Linked DNA regions of Drosophila melanogaster. The protein of the gene in region 3 interacts with the protein of the main gene of each other region in a pairwise test. Each region holds a gene or a part of one and is shown on either strand. Other genes may lie near its edges.

Evidence for each region.
Region 1: the proteins of SmydA-3 (region 3) and Clp interact in a two-hybrid assay, tested with the Drosophila melanogaster proteins (one large-scale study listed by BioGRID).
Region 2: the proteins of SmydA-3 (region 3) and CG13300 interact in a two-hybrid assay, tested with the Drosophila melanogaster proteins (one large-scale study listed by BioGRID).
Region 4: the proteins of SmydA-3 (region 3) and Rab26 interact in a two-hybrid assay, tested with the Drosophila melanogaster proteins (one large-scale study listed by BioGRID).

Annotation. Positions count from the first base shown.
Region 1 is NT_033779.5:818,051-823,873, forward strand, and holds Clp (clipper), read left to right. Parts: upstream 1-1,913; 5' UTR 1,914-2,028; coding exon 2,029-2,919; 3' UTR 2,920-3,159; downstream 3,160-5,823. Other genes in the region: PGAP2 (Post-GPI attachment to proteins 2), read right to left, coding at 457-593, 654-1,284; CG3662 (uncharacterized protein), read left to right, coding at 3,502-3,609, 4,808-5,519, 5,587-5,726. UniProt on the Drosophila melanogaster protein: Component of the cleavage and polyadenylation specificity factor (CPSF) complex that plays a key role in pre-mRNA 3'-end formation, recognizing the AAUAAA signal sequence and interacting with poly(A) polymerase and other factors to bring about cleavage and poly(A) addition.
Region 2 is NT_037436.4:6,348,521-6,355,919, forward strand, and holds the start of CG13300 (uncharacterized protein), read right to left. Parts: upstream 3,871-7,399; 5' UTR 2,637-3,870; intron 2,310-2,636; exon of another isoform or gene 2,216-2,309; coding exon of another isoform or gene 1,790-2,215; exon of another isoform or gene 1,756-1,789; intron 1-1,755. Other genes in the region: Sfp65A (seminal fluid protein 65A), read left to right, coding at 1,790-2,215.
Region 3 is NT_033779.5:10,846,855-10,856,134, reverse strand, and holds SmydA-3 (SET and MYND domain containing, arthropod-specific, member 3), read right to left. Parts: upstream 5,995-9,280; 5' UTR 5,876-5,994; exon of another isoform or gene 5,287-5,875; intron 4,895-5,286; 5' UTR 4,804-4,894; coding exon of another isoform or gene 4,448-4,803; intron 3,773-4,447; 5' UTR 3,618-3,772; coding exon 3,250-3,617; intron 3,026-3,249; coding exon 2,696-3,025; intron 2,583-2,695; coding exon 2,356-2,582; intron 2,302-2,355; coding exon 1,703-2,301; 3' UTR 1,531-1,702; downstream 1-1,530. Other genes in the region: Dnz1 (DNZDHHC/NEW1 zinc finger protein 11), read left to right, coding at 37-480, 678-948; porin, read left to right, coding at 7,272-7,591, 7,667-7,894, 7,967-8,267; Porin2, read left to right, coding at 9,237-9,280.
Region 4 is NT_037436.4:21,316,956-21,324,313, forward strand, and holds the start of Rab26 (Rab26), read left to right. Parts: upstream 1-1,818; 5' UTR 1,819-2,989; coding exon of another isoform or gene 2,990-3,676; intron 3,677-5,425; exon of another isoform or gene 5,426-5,630; intron 5,631-7,358. Other genes in the region: Pc (polycomb), read right to left, coding at 1-527, 842-955. UniProt on the Drosophila melanogaster protein: Participates in exocrine secretion.

The DNA.
Region 1 (5,823 bases), about 10 Mb from region 3:
GAGTTGATTAAAAGTACACCAAACAATTGGAAGCAATTAAAAAGTTAATTTATCTGAATTCTAATAAATACAATTTTAGACTTACAAAATAATGAATTAGAACATTAGAAGCCAATAAAAGCAAATTCAGTACGTATAAAATAAAACCTTATTGAAGCCTTGTTCCTAAATGAGTATGTGTATAAATAATGCACTACATAATGATGGAACTCGGTTCGAATTTAACTAGATCCTTTAGGTGTAAAATCGTGTTAGAGCCTAAAGCTAAAAGCGTGTGTATGCATCAGATCCTGTCATACTGAATCGTCTCCTCTCGGAATCCCTCGTAAGCAATTTCCTTTTGGTAAAATTAAGTAAACATTGAGCTTAAGCTAATACCGCGTATGTACACAATACTCGAGGACGACTGGCTGGCTGAAATGGCGGCGCAGGCTGGGTTTGATCTAGTTCATTGGTCTACGATTGTGATAGGTAGAGACCGTGCTTGGCATCACACACCACATTCAGGGCGTAGAAGTCCCAGTAGGAGGTCATGTGGAACCCCATGTTGGTCAGCACCACGATGTACTCGAACAACGCGAAGAAAGTATAGACTGTGGATAGAAAAGATTCATTATAAGACAATAGTGGACTCACAACCGATTCCCACTCACCTCCCGCCTCGCAATGCGAGTTGTGCCTCACGAAGCAGTATCCTGCCAAGCCAAAGGCGATCACATTCACCAAGAACAGATTTCTCTTGTACCTCAGCGACTTCTCCTCGTGCGGCAAGAGCACGGTCTTCTGTATATTCCTGTTCAGCAGGTAGGAAACCAGCATATAGCACTCGGAACACGCAATGAACACCACAAATGCGTTTCTGTGGGTCTCGTAATGATCCGCAGAGGTCCAAAACGACAAGCAGAAGAGGGCCAGATCCTCCACGACGTTCAAGAAGCAGGCCAGGATGCCCAGCAATCTTCTGCTCCGGCGGATGTGTTCCCGATAGTGCTCCAAGTAGATTTTGGCAACTGCCAAACGGAGTGGTAAATGCAGAAATATGGCCAGTCTCCAGACGGTTTTTTGGGGCTCATAGTTCCCAATGGCCGCCGAGACGGAGGGCAGATAGTTGGTCACATCGCAGTGGGTGTAGGTGCTCCTAACGAAGTCAAAGGTCAGAGACCAAATCACGCAGAAGAAGAAGCCTCCCAGGGGCAAACTAAGAGCCACCAGTGCCAGTCGCGCAAAGGGAAGCCGGAAGAGGACGCTTTTGGGATCACTGAAGCGCTCGTAAGTAGGCAGCATTTGACCTTTGGAGTGGGTGGACTACGTGGGGTGTTGGTCGGGTTGGGTTCTTCAGCGGCGCTCGCTCCTCATTTTTCAGTTCCTCGCTCCCAAATTAACTAATGGCTTTTCACGCAGATTGCTTACGTTATAAACATTGCGAAAAGTTGTAAACAAGTGATCGATACCAGCTGACTATCGGCCTCTGGCGGCGGGGGTGGTTCATTATCGAATTTACTCAGTGTTTAATGTTTAAATTTCGAAGCAATTCAAGTGTTGCTCTTGTGTAAGTGAAATTTTTGAAACTGGCTCGTTCATTGTAGATAAGCCCTTTTATCAGCAACACTAACGGGGCGGATACTTAATTTCTATGTAATACTTTAGTCGCCAACAGTGCTGACCAATATCAACTTACTTTTGTAGCTAAATAGCTAAAATGTTATTAATGGCGGTTTAGTTAAATAAGGTCATAAAAACAAGTATTTTCTTACTATGACTAATCTTATAAATTAAAAACATTTGGAGACTAAAAATATTTATATACAAATATCTATTCCCTGAAGTGGACAGATTTGGCTAATAAACAGCTAGACGGCCATGACTGTCTTGCCTTGCGAACTATCGATATCGATAACGCCGGTTGCGTGTCAGCACTATTCGCACTGAAACAACAAACACGCGCAAAAAAAGAAGAAGGAAACTGCATTGTTTACCAGATTTCGGAGTTTTTCCTCATCTATCCGAGCATCCGCGAATCCGTCAGAGATGGACATCCTTTTGGCCAACGTAAGTGGGCTGCAGTTCAAGGCGGAGCGGGACCTCATCGAGCAGGTGGGTGCCATCCCGCTGCCGTTCTACGGCATGGACAAGTCCATTGCGGCGGTCTGCAACTTCATCACCAGGAACGGACAGGAGTGCGACAAAGGGAGCGCCTGTCCCTTCCGACACATTCGCGGGGACCGGACGATCGTGTGCAAGCACTGGCTGAGAGGACTGTGCAAGAAGGGCGACCAGTGCGAGTTCCTGCACGAGTACGACATGACCAAGATGCCCGAGTGCTACTTCTACTCGAGGTTCAACGCCTGCCACAACAAAGAGTGTCCCTTTTTGCACATCGACCCGCAGAGCAAGGTGAAGGATTGTCCGTGGTACAAGAGAGGCTTCTGCCGCCACGGTCCCCACTGCCGGCACCAGCATCTGCGCCGTGTCCTGTGCATGGACTACCTAGCCGGCTTCTGCCCCGAGGGCCCGTCCTGCAAGCACATGCATCCGCACTTCGAGCTGCCCCCGCTGGCGGAACTGGGTAAGGATCAGCTGCACAAGAAACTGCCCACGTGCCACTATTGCGGCGAGCTGGGCCACAAGGCCAACTCGTGCAAGCAGTATGTGGGCAGCCTGGAGCATCGCAACAATATCAACGCAATGGATCACTCCGGCGGACACTCGGGCGGCTACTCTGGACACTCCGGCCACATCGAGGGTGCCGATGACATGCAATCCAATCACCACAGTCAGCCGCATGGTCCCGGCTTCGTCAAGGTGCCCACGCCCCTGGAGGAGATCACCTGCTACAAGTGCGGGAACAAGGGCCACTACGCGAACAAGTGTCCCAAGGGTCACCTCGCCTTCCTCTCTAACCAACATAGTCATAAGTAGGACGCTCTGCTCTGTATGATTAGACTGTAAGAGTGCAGAAATAAAGGTCGAAAGCGGTCTGCATAGTCCGCTGTGTAGTCCAGAGGTCGTAGGTTCCCAACTTCCGCAGGCGAACGTTTCAATCATTCTGTGTTTAAAGTGTATGTTAAGAAACTCATTTGCATTTTTGAAAAAAGTCCCTAGAACTGCCAGTAGAACGTATTGTGTTATCAGCGAAATAAACTTCCATAAGATACAAGTAAGCAATTCGTTTTGGAAGGGAGTTTAGTTGTATGTTTTGGGTTTTCTCCAAAAATATAAATGTATCATGTTTTTTCGTTTGTAAGATAACAATTTGTGCCTCACAATTTTTTTTCGGATTCAAGTTTCGAATTTTTGGGCGGCGAATCGTCTTTTCCAAGTTTGCAACCACTCTAGAGTTGCCTCACTTTTGTCCACATCTTTTGAAAGGCGAATTAGAACTGGTCACACTGGCTTGTCTGGATCGAGATTTCAGCTCGTCAACAATTGCGCACTAAATTTTCAGTAAAAACAAACAAGTTGGTCGTGCGGAGGCATCAAGAACACAGCATACGAGCAGCCATGACAATTCTGGGAAAACTGCGGGGACAGCCCACGGACCAGGAGAAGGTGCCCCTGCCCATGAACCTCAACGACGAGGCGCTCATGCACCATGGCTCCCTAATCGCAGTGAGTTTTGCTTGGCATCGCATCTGCGGGATGTGTCCTTATTTTTGCGCAATCGTGCTATGTCCTTGTCCATCCCTCGCGCCCTGCCCGCCACCGTGTCCTTCGTCCTGCGGCCCGAGAGCCACAAGTCTCGTGATGGGTGGGTGGTTGGTGCTGATTCCGATTCGGAATCCATTCCGAATTACAGCCTCAGCAGCAGCAGCTCGCCATCGATTTTTCCCCGACCAAGCTCCGCACTCCTTGGTGTCCTTGTGGCCCGTGCTTCCCCTTACCCCCCTGCCCGCATGCAACCCCTGCTCCACTCCAAGTGACGTGTGCCCATTCACTTTCCTGGGCTTTCCGCGCCAAGGACTCGCTCGCTCGCTCCCCGAGGTCAGCGCGAAGGGTTTTCCTGTTGCTGGTGGAGATTGGCCCTGACGGCTGGGGAAAGCCACTTACGGTGCCAGTTGCAGCCCTTTGTGAGCTGCTGACACTGTGCACTTTGACCTCGATTCGTGTGCACGGGTATCCAGAGAAAGTCGTGTCTTATCAGCTTGCTGGTCATAAGCACAATCATTCCCAGCTGCCAGCTCCCATCTCCCATCTCCCAGCATATTTGCCCATCTGCAGTTTATTTATTTAGTGTAGATATCACTAATTTTCCAGAGATTTATATACAATCATACATTTACATATGAGTTATGCACTACATAGTCGAATAAGGTCCACTCTAGTGCATGCAAATGCCTTCAATTGATTAATTTTTTGCAAGGGGATCTCTTCTGACCCCTCCTTAGACTAATCTCTCGCTAACGACGTATCTTTCGAAACAATTTTGACTTAGCAATGCAATTGCATTGTTTATAGAACAAGAGAAGGCATTGCAGTGAAAAATTATCTTGCTGAGCTGGCGGAAAATATAAATGTGTGATTAATATTCAGCAAGCTCAAACCTTTCGACTTGTGGAACTTCCACTATCAACATTACAGTCAACTGCCTTCTATTTGTATTTTTCTACGACTTATCGTCGTTTTTATGACTTTCCACTGGAACAATGGGTGATAAGGAAACAGATATAACAAGTCGGTCATTTTAGATAACTTTAGATTGTATATAAAACTGCTACTTTTCCATTGCAATTTGTTGTTCCTACAAAATTGCAAGTGACACTTAGAGGAGTATCCCATATTTTTAAAACCCCCCATTTTCCACACACAGCCCAAGGTTGCTTACAGCGATAATGAAGCCGACGCGGAATCCATGGTCTTCAACCGGCCGCAGCACCATTGCATCAAATCCTTTCTGCTGTTCCTGATCGCCGTAGTCGTGATGCTCCTGGGTGTCCTGGGCGGATGGACCCTGTACCGAGTGTACGCTCCGTCGCATAGCAGCATGCGCTACCACGCCCTGTGCGAGATCCCCTATCCGGAGGACTCGATGGAGATGGCGCGGGTATATCCGCGCACCGTGGAACCGTTCGCCCTGAACTGGCGCTCCTTGCTACCCGAGCTCGCGCAACCGATGCCCAACAGTGGATCGCTGGACGAGAGCCACTTCCGCGAGGACATCGAACTGGACGGTGACAGCGATGACGAGGGCTACGCACGCGTGGACGTGCCCGACTTCAAGGATGGACGTCGTGGTCGCTTCATGCACGACTTCAAGGAGAACCAGTCGGCCATTATCGACACTACCACCGGACGGTGCTTCATCATGCCCTTGGATCGGGACACGACCCTGCCCCCGACCAGCTTTGTGGATCTCATAAAGAAGATGAGCACTGGCTACTACAACATAGATACGGAGCGCGTGCGGCGCCAGATGCGTGTGGTCATGCCCCGCATCACCGATGTCTCGCTCATCTCGGAGCGGATTGCCAACGAGTGCTTCGATATGAAGGTCTACATGATGGAGAAGTTCGTCTCAGGCGGTGAGTAGCAATGTCTTACAGGTGCCAGCAACTTACTGATCCATTCCCATTCCTCGACCCATTACAGTCTCGAAGAGATCGGCTGATCCGCTGCCGGAGTCAGCCAAGTACGCCGAGTTCATGGGCAAGGGCGTCATCGAGTACGACCTGGCCAACATCGCCGAGGTGGAGGCCTACGAGGCCAACGAGGCTAGGCAACAGGCCTGAGCTTTGGAGGAGGAGGAGGATCTTTTAAGCTACAACACCCATATGATAACACAACCTAAACAAATTATTACTTAGAATCGATTTATACATACACAGA
Region 2 (7,399 bases), on a different chromosome or scaffold from region 3:
TCTCTGTGAGTGGGTGGTGGTTGGGCGGAGACATTGACCTCCAGCGGGTTGTTGGACAGCGTCTGGAAATCGGCAAATTCCATGGGGCATAATAAACGTAAGATAAAAGTCAAAGAGGGACAAAAATTATATAATAAACTGTACAACGAAATGAAATTATTGCAACGAGGGTGGGCCAAGCTGGGTCGTTATCGGGGGGCTTCGCTGTACTGCTCTCGAAGCTGGTAAATAAAAGTTTGATGTGCAAGCATTTCGTAAAGTTTGCAAAGTTTATTTGCAGGTTGGCTTTGCAGATACACTAAATGGAGTTGGGTTGTTTCTGCTTTAGGTTTTCATTCAGCATGGGCTTACTTTAATTAAATCTGTTGTTATGCAATTTGGGTACAGCATCATATTTATATTTGTACACTTTAAGAAGGTACTTGATATGTTTATGTACCATTTCAATTGTAATATTATTGCTGGTAGTGTATTTTCCATGTTGGTATAAATCAAATATAGAGTATTTTAACAAAGACACACCTAAACAAATTTCGTTCCGCGCTTGTTATTAAAACTTTAAACATTTTGCAACTCTCTGGAGGGAGATCGAAAAAATCTGTTCTCCGGATACTGTTAAAAAATTCTGAACTTTTGGGCTGGGTGATGTGGACAGACACACCTATACACCAGTATATACACATACACCGAGGGGCACAACAATAAGCCAGGAATGCAGGTGGGTGAGGGGTTGGGAAAGGGGGCGCAGGAGAACAGCACTGGGCGCTTTGGGCTTATCAAGTTGAGCGCATCAAATTCTCAAAAATAATATACCAAATCATAAAAGCATGACGATGAGCAATTTACCAAAGCCAAATACTCAGAGACGAAACAAACACGGGATGAAAAAAGGAAAAAAATGGGACGGCGTATGGAGGAAAAGATTCAAATCGAGAACGTGCCCCAAACGAAGAAGAAGTGCCGATTATGTACGTATAAATAGGTATACTTTCGGTTGCGCTGTAAAAACAACAAACTAAATGATTAATGATGAACCGCTTTTGTCTGCTAGCAAAGCATTTCATTTTCACTTTTCCACCGAGGCAGCTCTGGCTCACTATGAACCCCACAATTGGAAATTGAAAATGTTATTTTTCAACTTGAACTTCGATTGCTGGCATCTCGCGTCGCTTTCCACTGCTGGCCGTAATCACTTTGTCATTGCCATCATTTTTCAGCATCAATTGTTTAGCGGCTCGACATAAATTCACTTCAGAACCAAAAGCGTAGAAACACAAGAGAACGAGAACCCGCTCTGGGTCTAATGGAAATTGAGAGATACAAGAATCGAAGCCGAGCAGCTCCAAGTGGCCCGTCACAAATGTATCTGCAGTAAAACTCGATGGAAAACTCGATGGGCTTCAGCCTGATGGAGTGGACTTCCCTGGAATTGGCCTACAGCTTGGCCCGCTTTTAAGTCGCACCGAACCAGAGATCAAAAGAAAACTCGTTGACTTACTCGAGACGAAGCCGGGCTTAAGCTTAAGAAATATTACACCAATATATATAAAGGATCTAGTAGCTATAAGTATATCCAGTAATTTGCTCGGGATTAATGCAAACTTCTGTTGGAGTTTTGAAACAAGTATATAACCATTTAACACATGGTATAACCATGTAAATTAATGCGAAATGTGAATCAAACCGATTTCATGCTAAATGTCAAAGCCTTACATTTCTGTTAGCCACAAACGACTTGTAATGATAAAGGCAGATTTCTCAGCTTATATTAAACGAATCTCCACGGACTATGGTTTGGATACTGCGACTATTGTCTATCCTTTGCGCCAGCGTTTTAGCTTATCAGAAAGATGACAGTGCCAATAGCATTATACTTAACGATGGAGCTATAACGGTAAACACCTCCACATCGGGACTTACGGAAGCGGAGGGAAATACGTATGTACCAGGACCTGGATTCTTTCAAGAGACTTTCCTTGGCAAAAAAACGATTGGTTCATCTCCTCGATTGCCAGATCTAGGAAATAATATCGTCGTTATGAGCGAAAGTAAGCAATTGAAGGCCGGTGAAAAAAACATTGTTAACTCCAAAGTGCAAACGGTTACAAGAAAGCCCAAAATGTCAAAAGCAGATATATTTCATGGTATAAAATTATTTCAAGGACCTATTCATGAGCAGTTTGAAAACGATCTCCATGACCATCATCACGATTAAAACATCCTTCAAAAGTAATTGGGAAGGAAATAAAGTTAAAGGTGTTAATTGAAAATTAATCAATATACGTTCAATATATTAAAATATCACAGACTAATATAAAATTCTTTTAAATACTTTGAAGTTAATAGTTACTAACTAAAGTTAAAAGTTAATAACTTGTTACAAATTATAGTAATTTCGAGTATGAAATCGATAGCGTTTATTCAGGCAGCAACTAATTTGGCATTTCACGGGAAAAAAAGATTCATAACAATAAAGCCCTGTAAAAACCGATCTATTTAGTTTGTCATAAGTATTTAGCCGTATCTTGCCTGTCTTGCCAATACATTCTTTCATAAATCATTCTAGGAATGGAAGGCAATCGAAACAAGCTTAGCAGGCAATTGGATGAAGGAAATGCAGAATTCTTGAAACTCACCTCGTTTTCATGTGCAGCGATGTGTTTGTGTGTGCCAATTAGCCCGTTACGTTGCCAATTGGAATGTTCACTTGACTTTGCCGTGTGCTCAATGCGCTTTTTATGGCCAATGTTGCAGATGCTGTGTTCCTGTTGTCCTTTTCACACGGCGACAACGCGGCGGAGACGTAATCCACAACTTGAGCACCGTTTAGTGTGGCTCGTTGTTGTTTTAGTTGTTGCTGTGTTGCAAGGATAACGGTAATTAACCCGTCGGGGTCGCCTGGCTGCAATTGCATGCCAGTCGTTGGGTTATTGGCCGCCACCGAGCCGCTCGCTTGACACTTTTCAAACTTTTTTTCTCTCAGTTGGGCAGCTTTTTTATTCGCACACTCGGCGTTTAGAACACACACTCATGTACAATGGACGACACACACACACACACTGGGACACGCTTCACTATGCGCTAATTTTTTTATTCCGCGGATGCATTTGCTTGCCTTTTACACTTTTTGCCTGGGTCCGCGTTGCAAATCTTAGCGCGTTGTTTTTAAAGAAAATTCCAAAGACGACGACAACGGCAGCCGTGTTGTTCTGTATGTGTTTTTCCTTACTTTTTTTAGATTTGTTTTTTTTTTGTTTTGTTTTTTTTTTGTATTTGTTTTTTTTTTTGCCGGGTCTGGCGCTCCGGCGGCAGCTCTTCCGCAGAAACAAGCTTGCAAGCAGGTTGACCAAGACCAAACCGAGTCCAAGATGCAGCAAGGAGTTCGAGGTGGAGGTGAAGGTGGTCGCTGCTAGCTGGTTGCTGCCTGCTGCACAAGTTGCAGCCAAAGAAGTTGCAAGTTGCAGGGGCGCGGCTGCGGGCTACAATCTGCAATCTGTTTGTGGCATTAAATCAGTGAACCAAGACGCTCCTCCGCTCGGCGGCCAGATTTGTTTATGCCTCCTCACTGGTTATGCAAATTTGTACTATAGCTGTACGTACAGCTCAATTAACGCGGCATTCTTGGGGATTCTGCCAAACTGCCGATCGCACACATTGATCACCGCACAAAATCACTTAACAATCGGGGTTTATGTATCATATCAAATCATATAGTGGTACCCTGAACTGAAACTCAAAAGACGAAAAAACCAATGTTGCTGATGGGGGGTTGCTATGTTGCCAATGTTGCGAGCTGTTTTTGGTTCTGGTTTGGTTTTTTGTGGGGATATCGTCGTCCGCGGCCCGCTGACTTTTCGGCTGGCAACGTTTCGAACCGGTCTCAAGTACAAACTGAACGGCACGCACTGGGAACAGGTCCGTCGAGGTCCGTGGAACATGGGCGGAACGCCATGGAACCGGCACACTCAATGCCCCCGAAAACTCACTCAACACTTGAGCTGGCCACTCGAGTGGAACTCGGGCGGAAAATCACTCGGCTTGGAGTCTTTTCGGGAGCAAGTCGGTCAGGTGTTTAAGCCGCTGCCGCAGTTGCGTCCGCATCTAATTGTGAATGATTTATGTGGGTCGTCGTCCCCCACCGGGCGGCACCACCAGCAGCTAGGAGCACTAGCACCAGCACCAGCACCGCACCATCGATATGCAGCATAACATCGGGGCATCAACGAATCCACTCTTTTGGCCCAAAGAAAGTGCCATAAGCCGTTGCCGCTGGAATGGTGCAGGCTTTTCTTTCACCGCCGATGCAGTTCGCACAATTGAAATGAATATTCAGATGGCCAAAAGAGCGGAATCGGAAGAGATTGGTGAGTGTTAAAAGTGGGTAGGAGTGTGCCATCCTACACGGAGGAAAAAATGGTGTGCCTATTTGTTGCTGCTTGGTCTCTGCACACTGTTTTTTGTTAGGTTACAACCGTAAAATCAACAAATTACATACAACTTGCATTTGAAATTTGTAACCTAATCCAGCTTGGCAAGCTCGAAATTGCATTCTGTAAGTACGAAATCCCCAATTTATTTTCTCTGTGATTTGAGCAGAAAACAGTTGCCATTCAGTTGGTTTAATCCCGGCCAGGTCCAGGTCGTTGGCTTTAAATTATCAACGGGACAAAGGACACTCTGCCCAGCTGGTCAGGTCCCAACTCCCAACTGGCGTTGGCCACTGGCCATAACTAAAATCGCCAGCACATTAACAGTTCGTGCAGATGGCGAAGGCGAAGGCGATGGTGATGGTGACTCAGGTGGCGAGGTCAGACTGGTCTGGTCTGGTCTGATCCCTTTTGGGGGAGGAAAAGCACCTGCTTTATTATGCAAAAGTTTGCCGGCTCCGTCAGGTGAGTGTCCGTGGAAAATTCTGTGGAGAAAGCGGCGAGCAGCGAGGGGCGATGCGTGTGCAGTCAAAGTTACAGGCGGGTCGAGGTTTGGACTCTACTTAAAACTTAACCAGCACAAAAAATGTGCTCCAAAGGCCAGTGAAATCATGGCAGATAAATGGTGAAAAAAGCACTTAGTTCTTGCTTTTATCAGTAATTAAACTTTATATCATTAGGTGTTTTATCAAAAGAAATTATGGCGGGTGAATACTGCAAATGGACATTTTAATGGGAATGATGCAGCCTGCAATTTTGTTCTCTCTTTTACATTATATCATTCATTTTAACTGAAGATGATGTCAAAGAAAACACAAGTAGAAACTGTTCCCTATTTAAAACCTATTCGCTAGTACCTAACAAATATAACATCTAAAATGACCATTTTTATCTTAACTTTATGTTTAGTAGGATGGTAAAACTTGAACATTAAATTTAAAAAGCGTTTTCATCTCCATCTGTGGCCTAGCAGCTGGAAATTCTTAAAATAAATCATAAATAAATTCAATCAGGCCTTTAGCAATTCCTTGAGAAGTAAACGCTTAGAAAATATGCATTAAAAGTCAAACTTAATATAGTTAGCCATCTTCAGCCATTCGCTCCACCTAATGTCTTGCGACTGCTCAACTAATTCAAGATGGACAGGGCCGACACTCAGATGGGCTAGACAAGTTCGATGCCTTGGATGGGCATCCGAGTGGGCCAGGCCCACCTCCTCCTGCTCCCCCAGCTCCTTCTTCATATCGACCACGACTCCTCTGACAGGCAGAAGACGTCGTCGACGAGTCAGGGATTCGATTCTGGGATGACGATGCCGCGATACATTGCCCGCCAGAGAGCCTTTCGAATGATTTATGAGAAATGCGCCGTTTCTCCGTCTCCGAAGACGGAGCGCCAAGCCAAGACAAACAATTGACATTTGATGGATGCGTAACTTGTGCATTCAAATGCAACTAGCCAAGTTGAAAGGAGGGCCAAGACAGGGGCCACGTTATATTTGACAGACCGGCGGAGAGGCGTCGGCTAATTGTTATTGATAATCGCATTGGCTGTTATGTCTTAGTTTTTGTTGCCTCACAGCCGATGCCGATTAATTAGTCAATTAATGAACATGATTTTGTGGAGCATCCAACTCGAGGGACAGCCGCATCGAAAGCCACATCCAATTGCAGTTGCGGTCTCCTCCTGGGCCGATCCGCTAATCAGATCCCTTGGCCAGCTTCCACACGAAGACCTTTTGCTCCCGGGTGAATTATGCCCGGACAAACTCATTGTCTGCTGGCTGAAAATCACGGCTCCATCCTGCGCCTGCCTAACTGCAAACAAACTTCTCTATTATTGATTTATACCTTTCAACGATTCTCTGTATTTATCATGAGTGCAAGCCACATTTATCATTAATAATGCCGCGCCAGCAAGAGCAGCGGAATCGGAATCGGAATCCGCGGCAGCGTTTCCAGACGCAAAGTGGTAGCCCAAACGAGCGGCAGGAGCGGGATCGGAATCGGGATCGGTGGCAGGCAGCAGGAGGAGATGCCCCGAGCATCCGCATCTAGGCAGCTGCCAGACCCTGGGCAGCAACCGTGGGTGTCGATGCTCAGAATGGATAAAAATACTTCATCGAAATAAATGTGTAAAATAAAATTATCTCATATATTTGGAACATCATATTAGTTTGCTAATTTGGATGGTTAGCACAGTCCCAAAAGAATTAAGAATGAAATATATTCTAAAACTAATTGGACAATAAAAAATCGCTGCAGTATTTAATGTTTGGTTTTAATTGTATTTATTATATTAGCAAAACAAAGTGTGCACTAATAGAACCGCAACTGAACACTTCAGACTTCCAGTGGCAGTGCCATTTTATTTGTAACTAATTGCCCATTGAGGCAGCGATTTGAATAAAGGGCCTATCCATTATGCATTGTGATGGTACCACTGTGCCAATTTTCCTAGGCCACAGCAACGCCATCGCCCAGCCACTCAGCCAGTCAAGCAGGCACCCCCGTTGAGATGCTGGCTGGGTTGTCTGGGATGGCCATTCTCGATTTGGCCAAGAACCTAAGAGCTGGGGTGCTGTGGATCTGTGGAGCTGGAGAGCTGGAAGCTGGTGAGCTGTTGCTGAAGCTGCTTCAGCTCCGATCGTTTTCCGTACATCATTTCTATGCTGTATTTATTGCCCGGTCGCAGTGATCATCGCGTTCGCTGGGCCTCCATTTCCGTTTCTGCGACTGCGCAAAAGTTCAGACCATCGAGGGAAGAACGACGGCGGCGAAATCCATTTTGGGAAGGTGATCTGTGGGATTGTGCTAATGTCAAATCAAGCTGTGCCCCCTTGTTATTTAGCGAGGGCCCAAAAGGAAGAAGCTGCCGTCCGCCAGCCAGCCATTCAGCCAGCTAGCCAGCAAGTAAACTCCATGTTGATTTTATTGTAAATTGCATTAAAAGATTGCATATAAAGAATTTTA
Region 3 (9,280 bases):
ACGTCATTATATATATATCTACCCACTTGGCGACAGCCTCTGGATGTCCTTCCATGTGGTGCTCTTTAACACCGTCGTCTTCCTGTTGGCCATGTCCCACTCCAAGGCCGTGTTCTCCGATCCAGGCACTGTGCCGCTGCCCGCCAATCGTCTGGACTTCTCCGACCTGCACACGACCAACAAAAACAATCCTCCGCCCGGTAATGGACACAGCAGCGAATGGACCGTGTGCACCCGCTGCGAAACGTATAGGCCGCCACGCGCCCATCATTGTCGCATCTGCAAGCGGTGCATCCGGCGCATGGATCACCACTGCCCCTGGATCAACAACTGTGTGGGCGAGCGCAATCAGAAGTACTTCCTGCAGTTCCTCATCTACGTGGCGCTGCTGTCGCTCTACTCCATTGCCCTTATCGTCGGTTCCTGGGTGTGGCCCTGCGAGGAGTGCAGCCAGAACGTGATCGAAACCCAGTTGCGAATGTAAGTTTCGTATGCCACAGCAACAATAGCAGAAGCTAGAGCCTTATTTGGGTTTGCCTTAATCGAATGCTAAGCGGAATGCAATGCAAGATGGAAAAGTAGTGCTTTGTTAGTTCTTAAACAATGAATGCGTTACTTGGCCACGCAATTTTAAAGTGTATTATGAGTCATATATAACTTATATCCCTCCGTTGCAGGATTCACTCGGTTATCCTTATGCTGGTGTCGGCGCTGTTCGGCCTGTTCGTTACGGCCATCATGGTGGACCAGCTGCATGCGATTCTGTACGACGAGACGGCCGTGGAGGCGATACAGCAGAAGGGCACCTATCGTCCAAATCGGCGCAAGTACCAGCTGCTGGCGGATGTGTTCGGACGCGGACATCCGGCGCTGTGGCTGCTGCCCTGCACCAGTCTCAATCATGCCTCCCGCTACCATGATACGCCTCTACTGAGCCACGAGGTCTAGGGTCAGGAAATATTCTTTATATTTTGTCCTTGCGTTTGCTGTGCGGCTAAAAGAGCCCCCGAGTGTTTTTAGTTTTTAATCAATGTGTGTGTGATTATTTTTAAACGACCTATCCCCCTGCCCGCAGCCAGTCAAATTGAATCGTATTTCGTTTTGTGTATTATATGCAGATTCCAACTTAATTTATGCTTTAGTTTATAATGTTTTAAAATTATAAATACATAGAAAGCAGCAGCGTGGCGGCCAACAGGAGCATACTCAAAATGAACACGGCTATTTTGTAAGTAACTTTTTGCAGCTGCTTGCTTTAGAATGCCAGCGAATGTTGCGTTGATTATTTGTACACCGATGCATTCTTTGGCCACCCGGTGTATTTTTTACCAGTATCCAAGTAAGCAGCACCTTCTAGTTTGAGACGTAGAAAAATCTCAACTGTATACAATACTACATAGCAATATGTACCGAGCTAGAAACTAAGTCCTTATCAAAAGCATTTACGATATACCCGAAGAATGACGCATATACCAAAAAGGAAATAAAACGGAGATTAAACACTCAAATAGAAAATACTGTGCATCATTAGTTTGTAATAATTGTAATCACTGTTTAGTTTTGTAGTTTATTGTTCTTTTGACATTTACGACCATCGACCAGCGCACCAATAAGATTTTAAATGTAACACCAACATCAGCAGTTTGTGTCCCTAGAAACCCAGAACTGTTCCCAATAAAGCTAACCGATATGCATAAGTCAATCAATCGAGTTCGCTTCCCAGTCCCTCGACGCTCAGTGTGAGCTGTTTCAGCGCCTGTTTGGCCACAACGCACAGCACTCCCTCCTGGGAGCTCTTGTCCTCGAACTCCAGGATCTCCACACACTCCTTCAGCAGATCTATGGCGTCGACGAGGCGGGCACGCAGCTCGCCGCCCTTCAGCTTGCCGGCTATGAAGCCACTTTTGGCCAGCAGCACCAGTGGCACGTGCAGCTCGTAAAGATTCATGGCGCGTGTTCGACTCAGACCCGGTTCGAAGGTGTTCAGCACTCTCAGCACTTGGCGGCATAGCTCCGCCTTGCGCTCCAATTGGTGGTCCGGCAGTTGCACCATCTCGTAGCCCTGTACTCGCCCGTACATCTCGATGAGCAACTGCCTCAGCCCGGTGGCTATAAAGTGCAGCGGATGCAGCAGTGATTTGTACTTGCGCAACAGTCGTTCGATCTCCTCCAGCCGCTTGGCTGCCATGGGCAGCGCTTGCACGGCATTCACCTCGGATTGCAGGGATTGGAGCATCGCCAGTGCATCCGCATTGCTGGTGTCGGAGCCACAGTTCGCGCAGTTCCAACTAGTGTCCGGTTCTGCGTAGTGGATAAGGTCAGCTTATCACTTTCTAGAGGATCTTTTTCGCTCACCTGTTGGCTGCCTGGGCACTTGGAATCCCTCGGCGCACTGACCACACTTCAGGCTGGAGAAGTGCGTTCCCAATTCGGTGGGATCCAGACAGCGTTCGCATTGGCAGGTGAAGAACTTGCCCTGCTTCAGGTGCTTCTGTCTCTGGGCAGTGCCATCCAATGTGTAGGTGTAGCTGTGGTGCAGGGGCTGACCCTCCTCCAAGTCCACCATGGCGCGCAGTCGGATTCTTTGGAAGAGAAACAAATATAGGAGGACTTATTTTAGATGTGCAACAGCGGAAATGTAATTCTAGACATCTTGAACTAGAGAACTGAATTTACAAATCTATTTACAACTCACTTGTATCCCTCGCTGGGATAGATGCTCCTGGATGTGTTGGGCACGCAGTTGTGGGCCAGAATGCCGGTATAGGGAAAGAGGCACCTCAGTGGATAGCCCTTCGGGCTGCGCGCCTCGAAGGCGTTCACCTCCAGCACACCCACCACCTGCATGATCAGCTCCTCGCTGAATCGGTTGGCCAGTTGGCAGGGACCGCGCAAATACTGAGCGATATTAACGCGATCCGCATGCCAGACATCCGCGTCCCTTTGGCGCTCCTCCTTGTGGTGCTCCATGGGTGCCACCTCGTTGTCCCATCGCTCCGGATTCGCCTCCTTGGCCAACAGAACTCTGAAAGTAGAAAGTTTAAAAGGGTATTCCAAATGACAATCATATGAAGCACAACAAGTAACCTATTGATTATAATTAGCTACATTAAATTAAAAATCTTTCTCTTTTTTAATTGTTAATGAATCCTTTTGTATATAACTTTCATCTTGAGCGGATAAAATAGTGACGCTATCAGTTTGCCTGGTGCCTGGTGGTCTATTTTTGTTCCACCCGCTGGGCTTCACCTGAGCGGCATAATACAGTCCAATTGCGGACAGTGCCTGCTGCCGCTGGGCAGGCGGAAGAATCGTGCCCGAGCATCCTTCAGCTGGCTGCACTCCAGGCGGAAATGGGCGTTATCCGCTTGTTGGGCGCACTCCACGCACAGCGGCCAGCCACATTCGCTACACAGCTCCTCCTCCGGATCTGGGTTGGGTTCGTAGCAACCCAGGCACACCACCGGTCCATTGCACTTGGGCCCGACGGCAAAGGGCAGCTCCTCGATCAGCAGACCGTGGCCACGGATCGCTCCCTTGGCCACCAGATAGCGTCCGCAGACCGGACTCCACTGAACCGCTGTCCTATTCACCGACAGCGTTGGCGGCGATGTCATTTCGCTGACTGATGCCGGCTGGCCGCACTCAGATCTCAGATCTCATGTCATGGGCACACCCCACAGATGATGCCTCCTCCCCACTACATGACTACATTTCTGCCTGCTCCGACATAAAGCATCAAAATTGCTGGGCACAGTGGGCATGCGAGGTCCTAGGTGAGAAATTTTAGTTTTGAACAAATTGTCTTGAGAAAACATTGTTCAATTTCTATAATAACTAAAATACCTTACATTTTCATAAATTAAATAATTTACTGGTTGTAACTTTTAAGTTGCTTGTAACTTTTAAGTTGCTTGTAACTTTTAAGTTGCTTGGCTTTGTTAGTTCTATTTCTAAGTACTAAGCACCGATCTATTTAAACATGTGCTTAACATTATTTAAATAATAATTCACAGTGCTTACAGTTCAGTTTTGCTACGAAATATATAAAAACATGATGGTACATTGATCATAACGCGCCGCAACTATCATATACCAATTATTCTGTCATAATAATATGTACAAATATGGCTTGTTTCATGCCATAATTTTCTCCTTACTTTCATGCACTTTAAATTTAGCTATTTATTTTTTATTTTCTGTGCGATTTGCTCCACTGTCCCTTTCACAGACTTGTTAATCCATCCGTCCGCCTTCTTTGACGTAGAGTCGCCATGAGAATCTGTATATGCCGGCTAGCCTGCGAACTGCGAGAAATGGGCCGCTGCTGCCAAAACTAATATTCGGACAGACCGCCCAGGTTCCCCTAGTAGCACCCAGTAGCCCCTGCTGTACGGATGTACCCAGCACCATCACCCCCGCCCCGCTGGAGCGCCCGCGAACTAACCTCAATATGGTTATGCAATCCAACTGCGGGCAGACGCCATCATCGCTCACATTCCCGGCGAAAGTGACACGTGCGGCGGAGAAGACCTGGCACTCTCCGCGGTGCTCCGTGACGTCTTCGTCGTCGGCGCACGATCCGCACAGCGGCCAATCGCAGAGTTCGCAGCGGTCCAGCGAATCGCCGTCCTCTCCGAACTGCAGGAACTGGTAGCAGCCCAGGCACACGATTCCGCTGTCGCGCTTCGGTCCGCGTGCGAAGGGCAGCTCCTCCAGCACCAGCTCGCCCCGCTCCACGGAGCTAGAGGTGGCCAAGCAGCGTCCCAGCACGGCGTCCTCCTGCAGACGGGCCTTCAACATTCTGTCGCCGCACGGCAAATGCACTGGTCTCGCTTTTGGCCCATCCGAATGGGATTATGCGGTCGATTGGCGGCCCTGCACGCAGATTCGTCTAAAAATAAAAAGAGCATCGCACACACTTCATTGGTGTCAATCAATAAAGTTGTAATATATTTATTGCATTTTGATTGCTTTGGATTATAACTTTTTTAAAGCCCATTTACTTGTCCACAACTTTAAAGTTTTCGTTTGCAGGAAACCCTTTTATGTAAAAAAAAAACACTTTGATGTAAGTTAATTGTTCTTAAGATAACGAATTTCTTAATAGAATGATTGAATTCTAATTTCAATAATTATTTTAAGTAACCGTTAGTTTTCAAATTTCCGTTACAAAAAGTGTGACCATTGCCATTAAGAGTGACGCAGCGTTACCAGATAGTATATCTGCGGCTTGTTTTAGGGAATAATTATTGGACGAATTTTTAGGGTTGGTAACACTAAGGCACAGAATTACAAAATTTTTTGGTGTACGTTTGTCGTGGTGTCTCTGTTCCTCTGCGTTTCGCATTACACTCTAACCAAACTAAAACTCATCAAAAGTAAGTAGCTCAGGAGTAAACCCCCTCAAAATTCAGTGAAATGTGATGGATACCCCTATGGGTAGAAGGAAAATCAGGATTTTCGGTGCCAGTGATTTCATAACCTCGAAATGAAAAAATTGCAAGTAGACACGCGCATGAACGAAAAGCAAAAGGGCTGAGCACTTTTTTGTTGGATGACGATGGGCGAGCTTCTTATCACCAAATCACGCAATAATTAATTGATAAATCCGAAATTTAAAGGGGATATTAAGCCGGTTAGCTGTCACACACACATCCACACATGAACAGTCCACGCACACCAATGCCTTCGCAGTTCATTGGCAGCAGCTGCCGGCGAAAAAAGGGGGCAAAGAAGCAGAGAGATCGATGGAAAAGTGCCTGGCGAATTTCCGTTACGTAACGCATGTCGCATCAATTCCGTTCGTTATCGTCATGTTGCCATCCACCAGCGTGCAGCTCGCTCAATAAACATTTTCGATTTCACTCTTTACCGTTCTTTATCGTCGTTTTGTTTGTTTGTGGTCATGTGAGGAGGTGGGTGCACTTCGCGATTGTGGGTGGTATTTTCGCAGTGACGTCACCTGGAAAATCAATAGACCACCTTTTCGGGCAGCTATTCACTTAGCTTTCCACTTTCCCTCATCGATTTCCCTGCTGTTATGCAACTGTCGAAAAAATGAGCTGCACATCCACCCAACCACCCCCTTTATAATCTGCTTGTCAAGGTCATCGTCAACGAGATGCTGATTCATTTTCACCGGGACATCCACCTGATAGTATTATTTTCAGCATCTAGTGACCAGGTTATATCACCTGACTTCCGGAACAATAAGAGCCCATCCCATTTAACGTTTGGCTGCCGGCCATAAAGATTTTTGTCTGCTGGCCGCTGCTTTTCATAATTTTCTGCCTTGATTGCCTTGAGTTTCCCCCCACCAATCCCCCCGAACACAACATGAAATATTTATATTGTTATATCTATATAATAATTTCAATTAGATGTTTTGGGTTATTTTTGTTTGATTTTTTTTATGCTCAATATCGGATAGAAATTTATTTATCCGCGACTAATATTCCTACCGCGACTGTGAGTCGCATTCCTGACGTCACGCAAATAGAAACAGCGAAGCAGTGACCACAGCAGACGTTGCAAATGTGCAGTTAGCTTCTGAGTCAATGATCGCTAGCCTAACGGGACTGAACTGACCAGCAATTAATGCCAGCAAGAACGGAACGTAAACATAGAGAGAGGCAAACCTGTGGCCAGATAAATAGGGAAAATCTCAGTATTTTTATTAAAATTTTAGTTTAAAAAACCTATAAAAATATTTGAAAAATAAATTTTGATTTAAATGGTTTTGCATTGGTATAGAAAACCCTTAATTTCTTGGAGTAAAATAGACTTAGTCACTATTTGTTTTCTATCTTCGCTTCTATTTTTTGCGCCACTTTATTTTGCCCAGACGTGCATTGACCCCCTCCTCAGTCACTCAGAATTTTCGCTGCTTCAGTTGGTGATTCTTTGCATGTGGCCGCCTTGAACACTAATCTAAATTGATTTCTTTATTTTCGCCGCACAAAATTGACATTTAGCCAAAGTGAAAATGGGGAAAAAGCCCTCGAAATTCTTGGGACATGTTGATGCTGTTTTTTGGCGTCTTTTAGTTTTCACTTTTCATTTGCGGCCGATAGAACATTTTGAAATCAAGTCGAGCAAAAAGTAATAATCATTATGTTGCTGATAAGATTAAACTTATCGTTCGCTAAACGCAATTAATGACCTGGCGAGTGAAATGATTTCGCAATAAGTATCATCGTCATGATTATCGATTATTCACCAACTAATTGAAGGTGCGATTTAATGCATTCCATTTCAATCCATTCCAGATGGCTCCTCCATCATACAGCGATTTGGGCAAACAGGCTCGCGACATCTTCAGCAAAGGCTACAACTTTGGCCTGTGGAAGCTCGATCTGAAGACTAAGACCTCGTCGGGCATTGAGTTCAACACAGCCGGACACTCCAACCAGGAGTCTGGAAAGGTCTTCGGCTCCCTGGAGACCAAGTACAAGGTCAAGGACTACGGCCTGACCCTCACCGAGAAGTGGAACACAGACAACACGCTGTTCACCGAGGTTGCTGTCCAGGATCAGCTCCTCGAGGGTCTGAAGCTGTCCCTGGAGGGCAACTTTGCTCCTCAGTCTGGGTAAGGATCACATGTTATTACATATATGTTCACTGCAGAATAATTAATATTGCATATTTAATTAAAAATCGTCAGAAACAAGAACGGCAAGTTCAAGGTTGCCTACGGCCATGAGAACGTCAAGGCCGATTCGGATGTGAACATTGATCTGAAGGGCCCCTTGATCAATGCCTCTGCCGTGCTTGGCTACCAGGGATGGTTGGCCGGCTACCAGACCGCATTTGACACACAACAGTCCAAGCTGACCACCAACAACTTTGCCCTTGGCTACACCACCAAGGACTTTGTTCTGCACACAGCTGTGTAAGTATTGCAATTGCCACGCATGGCAAATGAAATCAATGCAAACTAATGATTGCCTTGTCCGGTGTTTAGCAACGATGGCCAGGAGTTCAGCGGCTCGATCTTCCAACGCACTTCGGACAAGCTGGATGTGGGTGTACAGCTGTCGTGGGCCAGCGGCACCAGCAACACCAAGTTCGCCATCGGCGCCAAGTATCAGCTGGATGATGATGCCAGCGTGCGCGCTAAGGTGAACAACGCCAGCCAGGTGGGTCTGGGCTACCAGCAGAAGTTGCGCGACGGAGTCACCCTGACCCTGTCCACGCTGGTCGATGGCAAGAACTTCAATGCCGGCGGCCACAAGATCGGTGTGGGTCTGGAGCTGGAGGCCTAAGTCCGTGGTTTTCCGCTAGTCGTGAAATCCTTGAACGTTGTCTAACATCCCCACACGCCCAACAACAACAACAACAACAATAACAGCAGCCAGACAAGTGCAGAAACAACAACAAGATCAAACAAAATAAAAGATACGATATTCTTTAAAAACAAACAACACACAGTCAAATATAAAGAGAATCTGCACATCTTAGCGATTCGATTGGATTGGATTAGTTGTCAGCCGGCCATCACCACATCCGCCCATTCCCTGCCCCAGCCACGCGAATCTGCAGGAGAGACACTGCCAAACAAACGATGCAGGGGGATGGATGGGTGGTGCAATCGATGGGTCGGTCAGGTCAGTCCGTCGTCGTTGGATGTAGCTTTGATTAGTGCATTGAATATTAGCGAAATTGTTGTTGACAAAAGTGCAGTAAAAATACATTTACCTATTAAACGAAAAAAAAAAACAAAATGGAAAAGACGGAATATTATGGCTCAAAAGGCATTGCATTTTTTTCAGTTCTCAAGGCTTTACGGATTGCCTGCAAAATCCTGCGGCGAAACTAGGACACACATAACACCAAAATCACATCCTTAATAACAATCTTTACCTTTTCGTTGTGCATTTACCTGAGAAATAAATCGAGAAGAAATAAATTATCTTGATTGCAGCGTTGGTGGTGGAAGGCTTGGGAATGGTTAGCTTAATTTAAGGATTTAAGCTTGAAAGAAAAAACTGTATAATAAGATAAGTACCTTATACTGATCCCAAGTTCTTTGTGCTTGAAAAACTTAACTTTTTCGGTTGGGCACAGGACTCCGTGCGTTTTAGTTCACAGGTCTCCAGCGTGTATAAAACTCGATACTGATCAGGCAGCGTTAGACATAAATTTTCGGCTAATCGAGGCTGTTGAAAAGTAGACAAAAAATTTCGAAATTAGTCGGGCCATATATACCATACCACCTATTCATACAGCCCGTAATGGCCGCCAAAACACCGACATACCCAGATCTGGGCAAGCTGGC
Region 4 (7,358 bases), on a different chromosome or scaffold from region 3:
ACCTCGGCTTTGCGTTTGGTGCCGATCAGCGGCTGATCCTCGGAGCTGGAGGAGTTGCTGTCCGGCTCGGGGACAAATGAGTTGTGCGTGAAGCTGCTGTTCGAGGAGGAGCTGTGATCAATGCGCTGACGCTTGGACTCGTGGTGGTGGTGATGATGATGGTGGGTCAGCGGAGATTCCGAGCGCCGTCCACTGTTGCGTTCGGACTTGATGTGGTGATGATGGTGGTGGTGGTGATGGTGCTTCTTCTCCTTCTTCGACTCCTTATCGTGGGTAGCCGATGAGGTGGTGGCTTGATGCGTGTCCACATCGTTTTCGGTGAAGGTGTACTCATCCTCCTCGGATTCCGGCTCCGGATCGGGTTCTTTCTCCTTCTTCTTAATGCCTCGCTTGGAGGGAGTTCCGGAGGATTTGTTCGTTTGTTCGTAGATGTCGATGAGGCGGCGATCCAGGATGTTTACCTCCGGTTCCCAGGTGTTGTAGCGCTGGTTCCAGCCCTTCCACTTGACACGGTACTCCACGACGCCCTGGAAAATCGAGTAAGTGAAGGAGTGGGGGTGGATTGCATTTTCTTAGACAACTAATTGATTTTCCATTCAGCGAAACAAAAACACGCCTCACATACACACACACACACATACGAACGCACTACGCACACACACATGCATCGTGCAAATGGTGGTTGCAGCAGCAGATGTCCTCTGGCCAAAAAATGTCGAAGGACATGTGACCTTGTGGACTATACATATATCCTGCGTGTGCTGCGCATATTGCATTTGCCATTTTTAGCGGAGCATCCCGTTTTGGTCGCCTTTTTCGAATTTGTTTACGCTCATCTCACCTTCTTAACGCGCTTTTGGATGATTTTCTCAGCCGCGTACACTAGATCGACTGGATCGTCGGTCGCATTGTCGCGCCCCAACTTCCCCTTACTCCCCTTGCCTCGACCAGTCATTTTTAATTAATAATCTTCTCGGAACGTTTTATTATTCGTTTTATTTGCAATTAACTTCTGGTTTACAATTCTGCGTACGTCGATAGTCGTCCGACTCGATTATTTTCATGTAAACAATCGATAGTGCTGCGAGGTGCAGAGTTACCGTGCTACAAAGAACTGGGATCATATCTTAGCAAGTAGCCGTGTCGCACACCCTTTCCTGGCAAAATTAGCAAAGACTCAAAACTTTGATGACTAGACACACCTAATTGTGCGTTTTTAAAATGTAAATGTTTTGTTAAAATATTTTCAGAATTTCTTGACATTTTTCTATTATTTATAAATGGGGTATATAAATGTTTTAGAAAACATTTTTTTGGCGCTGTTGCCTTATACACTATTTTCTTTTATCGTTTCTACAAATTACTAAACCGGCGAGAAGTTAAACCAATTAGCTTAAATATAAAATAGCTTTTAATCAAATTTTAATAAGCGCATTTTTAATGAATCCTTTGTACAGTATTCTTTTTAAACTGCATGTTGAATTGAATTCCAGGTAACGAAATATTATACTTTCGTTAACGTTTATCGTTGTGTTGCTTTCATCCCATATTGAGTTTTGATTTTCCTTTGTCCTGCTTCACTTATTGTATCACAAATTGCCACATATACTTCGCCCCATATTCCTATTCAATTAAGTTTGATAATTAACTTGATTACAACTGAACTAGTTACCCTCTTCGAACTCTTCAAATGCCACATCCTCAAGAGGGAGAGAAAGTGCGGGAGAGAGTGTGAGAAAGCACAAGAGCGCCGAAAGCTCAGGATGGATGTGAAAGGAAGTGGCCGACTGCAGATATTTTATGCCAGTTGTATGTTGGCCGAGGGTTCGCGTGGCGGGGGCGGCAACGACGATGACATTATTTTATTTATGCTGTGATAGTGAAATAACAACAACACCAAGACCAACAACTGAAATAACACCCATTCCCTTGAAATCAATCGCAATATTTTCGACGAGGGACGCGAAACGCATGGAGAATCTTCACACTTAACGACGAAAACGAGAAATTAACCAAAAGCTTTAACCAAAACATAAAGAAAAACACCAAGCAAATTGTTGCGAACCCTATAAATAGATTAATGTTTAATTCATAGTGAAAACAGCACCAATTAGCGCATAACCTATAAAATATTAGTCAATATGTTTAGCTAGTTACAATTTACATAGATGATATTTAATTAGTGGCTTCAAACAAAACACCAAGCAACCAAACAACCGAACAAAAAAGGGGAAAAACCAATACCTAGTTCAATTGTACGGAGCGAAAAACTAACGAATAGCGATTAGGAAAACTGGCCAACTGATAAGGCTGGCGAAAATATTAAGCTTATAGCATATAGGAAATAATAATAGCAACGGCAAACCACCCCATCTCCAGGCGAAAGCCCCGAATAGCGGATTCATTCAGAAAAACGTGCCACACAACCGGACGGGAGCGACGGACAACGGTAAATGTCAAAGTCATAAAGAGAAAACTCGGAAATGCCGATGAGAGAAAGCTCAGAGAAAACGTCAAAACTATGAGAGGCGATAAAAGCTAGCCAGTTACAGTTATATTGGGAGAAGCAATGCCAAGTGTCAAAATCGCAAAGAGAAAGTAACAAAAGAGAGACACAGCTTAACGAAAACTTCCGGTTATTTTTTAACCAGTAGATTGAGCATTACGGCCATATATTAACGCAAACAGGACAATGGAATAGCTTGTATTTATCAGTCGTTTTGCCTAAAAAAAGAGTTTATAAAAAGAAAAGAGAAAGGAACGCCGCAATAGGAGGTCATACAAATCCTCAGAAGAGGGGTCGATGATAATGTGACACAATTCTATTCAATATGCGCAAATAAAAGAGACAGTTTCGGAGTTAATTAGGGGAAAGCCTAGATAAAGCTCAGAGCAAATCCCGAATCTAAACCAATGAGAAAGTGAAAGCTCAGGATAAAAGCGTCAGCACAACTTTTGGCCAAGACACAATCCAATAAAATCGAAACCAATGGCCAGCACAGCGGTGGGACTGGGAGGCGGCGAAGGTGACCCCGGGGCGGGAGGACCGCCAGCGGGATCAGCGCATCCCGACGACGCCAGCAGCATGAGCGACGACGTCTTCGAGGATGCGGAGACCACCCAGGCCAGGATCGAGGAGCTGCGTCGCCGGCCCTTTGGCGATGGCTCCTACAATCCCCCCGCAGCGCCCGCCTCAGTTTCCGCCTCGATAACGACGACAACGACACAGCAGCAGCAACAACATCACAATCCTTCGCATCACCACCAATCCTCGCACCACCAACCATCCCACCACCATCACCACCACCACCACAGCCAGCTGAGTTTGACGGGCAGCCATCACTACCACGACGATGCTATCATGGCGCCCGTTCAGCGCTCGGCCACCGGATATCCTGGCTATCGTCCCTCCCGCGAGGCAATGCAGATGTATGCGTACGGAACGGATGACTACGACGATGACTATAACGATGGTTGGCGATCGTATCGCTACGATGAAGTGGACATGCACCCAGCCCCGTCCAACGCCCATCAGCAGCCCTTCGATGATACGGTTAACCACAAGACGATCCTGCTGGGGGATTCGGGCGTGGGAAAGACCTCCTTCCTGGTCAAATACAATACGGGCGAGTTCCGACTGGGTTCCTTTTCCGCCACAGTGGGCATTGCGCTTACGGTGAGTTTTGAATACTGCAGTACCACAGTTTGTAAGTAGAAACTACTCTAGCTCCATATGCTGTAACTCGAACCAAAGGATTACCGTTTTATAAACTACTTTCTCGGTAAAAGCAACATCAAAGCAATGCAAAGTACTTGGTAGCCTAACCCGTGAATTTAATGATATGCCAACTTAAATACAGAATGGAACTCTCGCATGTTGACAGATGTTGGTTCGAGTTGCAGAAGTTCGAGCGTGGTGCCCAAGCTGTGGAACTCACTTGGCCTTAAACTTGCGATTGTGGGCGAATCCGTAGCGCTGCCTGCTGCATGAAACCCGCACAGTAGCCTGACCCCGCCTACTTAACCAGCCGCCCCTTTCCCCGCCCATGTATTGACGCACATTCGAATGGGCTCGCTTATGTAGTAAGAGTACGTCTGTGTGCATTGGCCTGCTGTGTGTACCTAATTGGGGAGCAGTTCCTGCTTTTGGTAATATAAGTCTCCGCCTTCGGGGCACTGGGGAGTAAATAACTAATCCAAATCTCATAACAGACTGTCGTTTTTTCAAAATTTTCTCTATGGCTGTTACGCCTAAATTCGTTTAAATATTATTATTTGTAGTAGTGCCATTTACATACATATATTTCTAGTTTTCGGTACAGAGACATGTTATTACTATTCCGCAGTAAATAATAAAACTCTTTTCGCCTCCTAAACGTATTAAAAATGACAAGACCAATTGGAATCCTTTCTCGCAGTGCACCTTTTTACTCCGCTAAATAGGCAACATATTGTTCGGGTAATCGCCGGAGATTTTCTATTTTTGGCGGGCATGCTGAAATCCCCCAAATTGATTTTTTCCCGCACGGTAAATATAAATCTCTGCGTTCGACCTTTTCCACGTTGTTGTGTTGTGCTGACATTGATGGCTGTCTGTGTGTGACTGTATGTGCAGCGCGCACTCACACACTCGCGCGACCTGTTGCTGTTGCCTTTCACTTTCACTCACCGCAATCCGCACCACACACAGATACGAACTCTCCCACGCTCACCCTCACGCCCGCACACAGGCGCAATCAGAGACACAGACACAGACAGACAGCCACCGCAATGGCCGCCAGTGAAGTTCAAGTGCAACGGTTTTCAGTTGCCTCGGATGTTGCTGCTGCTGATTTTCCCCCTGCTAGCCCGCTTTTCCCCATTGCAACACTAAGCGCGTGCTCAACTTCGGGGCACAAACATTTCTCCATCAGGGTGGGACACTGGTTCAGAAAACTACTTAAAACTATTAAACTTCGGAGCATTATATACATAAGATCCATATGATTATATAGCGGTAGCATTTGTATGTTTCAGGAATTTTCATATTTCTAACTAAAAATCTTAATCATATTTATTTTCACAAAGTATCTGAAATTTTGAAATTCTCGCCCTGATATGGAATTTCGCAGTATGGTATGGAATTGGAAGTAAGAAGAATATTCTGGCAAGAATCGGAGCACCCTATTGAACAGACACCTGAGTCCTGAAACCTACCAAATCCCCTTCCCGTTCCCCGCCACCTTTAACGTTTCTAGGCCAGGGTTGCTGCTGCTGCTCCTGATTCCAAGCCAAAGCCGAAATAGCCGAAGCCACACGAACTACAACTCAAACTGAAATCGGACTGAAAGCGAAGCCGAAGGACTCGGCTGCTGCGAAGGATTGCGAGGAATTGAGACTGATGCGACGATGGTTTTCTCCTGGGCCCGCCAGTCAGTCTAGCTGTGTGTTCCGATAAGCATCGGTCGCGCATCCTTCGCATCCCTCGCAGCTTTTCCGTATTTCCCAGCCAGGTGGAAGGCTGAACCAGCTGCTCCAGCCGAAAAAACACTCGGTCGCGAGTTTCCGAGCCAAGTAGAGTGAAGTGCTGGTTTGTGTCTGACTTTCTGAGGCGCGCTCATTAAAGACTTACTACATTTTGTAAACATTTAGTAAGCACTTGCATTTAAGCAGCAGTTCTTATTTACTTTATTACTTCCTAATTTTTATCCTTTTACCATCCTGCGCGCGTGTGTGTGCAAATGGCTTGTGTGTTGTGATGTCTGGATGATTTGACAAGGTCCTGCGCGTGTTAAAAATAAATAAAAACAATTATGGTAGACTGGCTTTTGCTCGGTACTCAATAATTGAAGGGCAGCGGAAAATGGTTGTAACCAACATTCTTTTGGCTTTGGTTGCGTTGAGCGGATTTGGGAATTTCGGTTTCCTTCTAATTGATTAATCTGTTTGAAACATTCTGAAGTATAAGTTATGCCTATATATGATACTATCTTGGTTTGTTAGGCATAACAAGGAACTAGACATATAATAGATATTTGTCAATACTAACATGTTAAATATTTTCAAGGTTTGGAACTGGAAATTACTTATTAACGGTTTTGAAGCTTAAAGGGACAAACACTAATTAATTCATTACCTTACTTATGATTATTAAGATGCTAGAATGGAAATATGTATACTTTTTTAAAGACTTAACACATTGCCGCCAAACCAACATATTTTCGCAGAAAACCTTTGGTTTAAGTAAATCATTGTTGTCATTTTCGGCGAATTCTGATAATTCGGTTAATTGGAAAATTCAATTGTTTTGCAGAGTTCTCGACTCATTTGCCACTAGCTTATTGTCTAAATTAAATTGGAATTTGATAAATGCAATTAAATGTAAGCCAATTTATACCCGAACCTTATGTCTCTCACATCTTAACCAGATTCCATTGTTGTTTACTCGGACTCGGGTTTCATTCAAATGCGCATTAATTATGTGGGAGTCAATAACTGCTGATGAACACAAAAGTGCCGAGGGCCACGGTGATGATTTTCCATTGATATCAGCTTTTTTAACAACGAACTTATATTAGTGTCTAACAAGCTAGAAGCTGAGGTACATTCCTTAAGTGGCTTTTCGCTTTAAACGTTATTCATAGAGATAAATGAGCCATCGATTTTCGAAATTAAAATTAGTTTTGCCTATCTGCGACGATTTGAAAAATTTCAAAAGCGGTTGGTTGAGGAGAATAGGTCTATAAAGCCCCCAAAACTTTTCTTTCACTGCCACAGGTGTCCTCTTTCTTGTCGTTTCGAAATTTCCTGGGCCGTCCCCTTGGGGTGAAAGTCACTTGAACCGTCGTTTAAGCCGATTAGTAGCACAAATCTCCTGGGTGGTGAGTGCCCCTCCTTCAGAGGAGCCCTTTCCTTTGTCCCTCCGCTCGGAATGACCACTAATATGCACTGGAACTAAATTGTTGTGTGGCTGGCCTGGCAGTTTTATGAAACCTTCGCGCAAGCACTTCGCCTTTTGTCCTGCGAATTGGCTCACTCGCCAGTTTGAAGTTTTACTAAAAAAAAAAAGAATGCCGGGTGAGTATTCTACGGAAGTTAGCAGAATAATAGAGCTTTTTGAAAAGTCTCGATCCTATTAGCTAAACTAAACTATGAATTAACTAAATTAACTAAATGTTAATTGCAGAAACTTCATCATAAAAACCCCTTTTTAAAAGTGAGTCAGGGTTACCTAAAACGAAAACCCTTAATGAAAAGGTAAAGCCTACCATATGAAGTATATATTTTCTTGAACAGTATCAACATCCGAGTTTAAATAGTTAGGTCCATCGAACTTGTTTACTGGCTTTAAAGATATCTGCATTACATTTTTTCAAAAG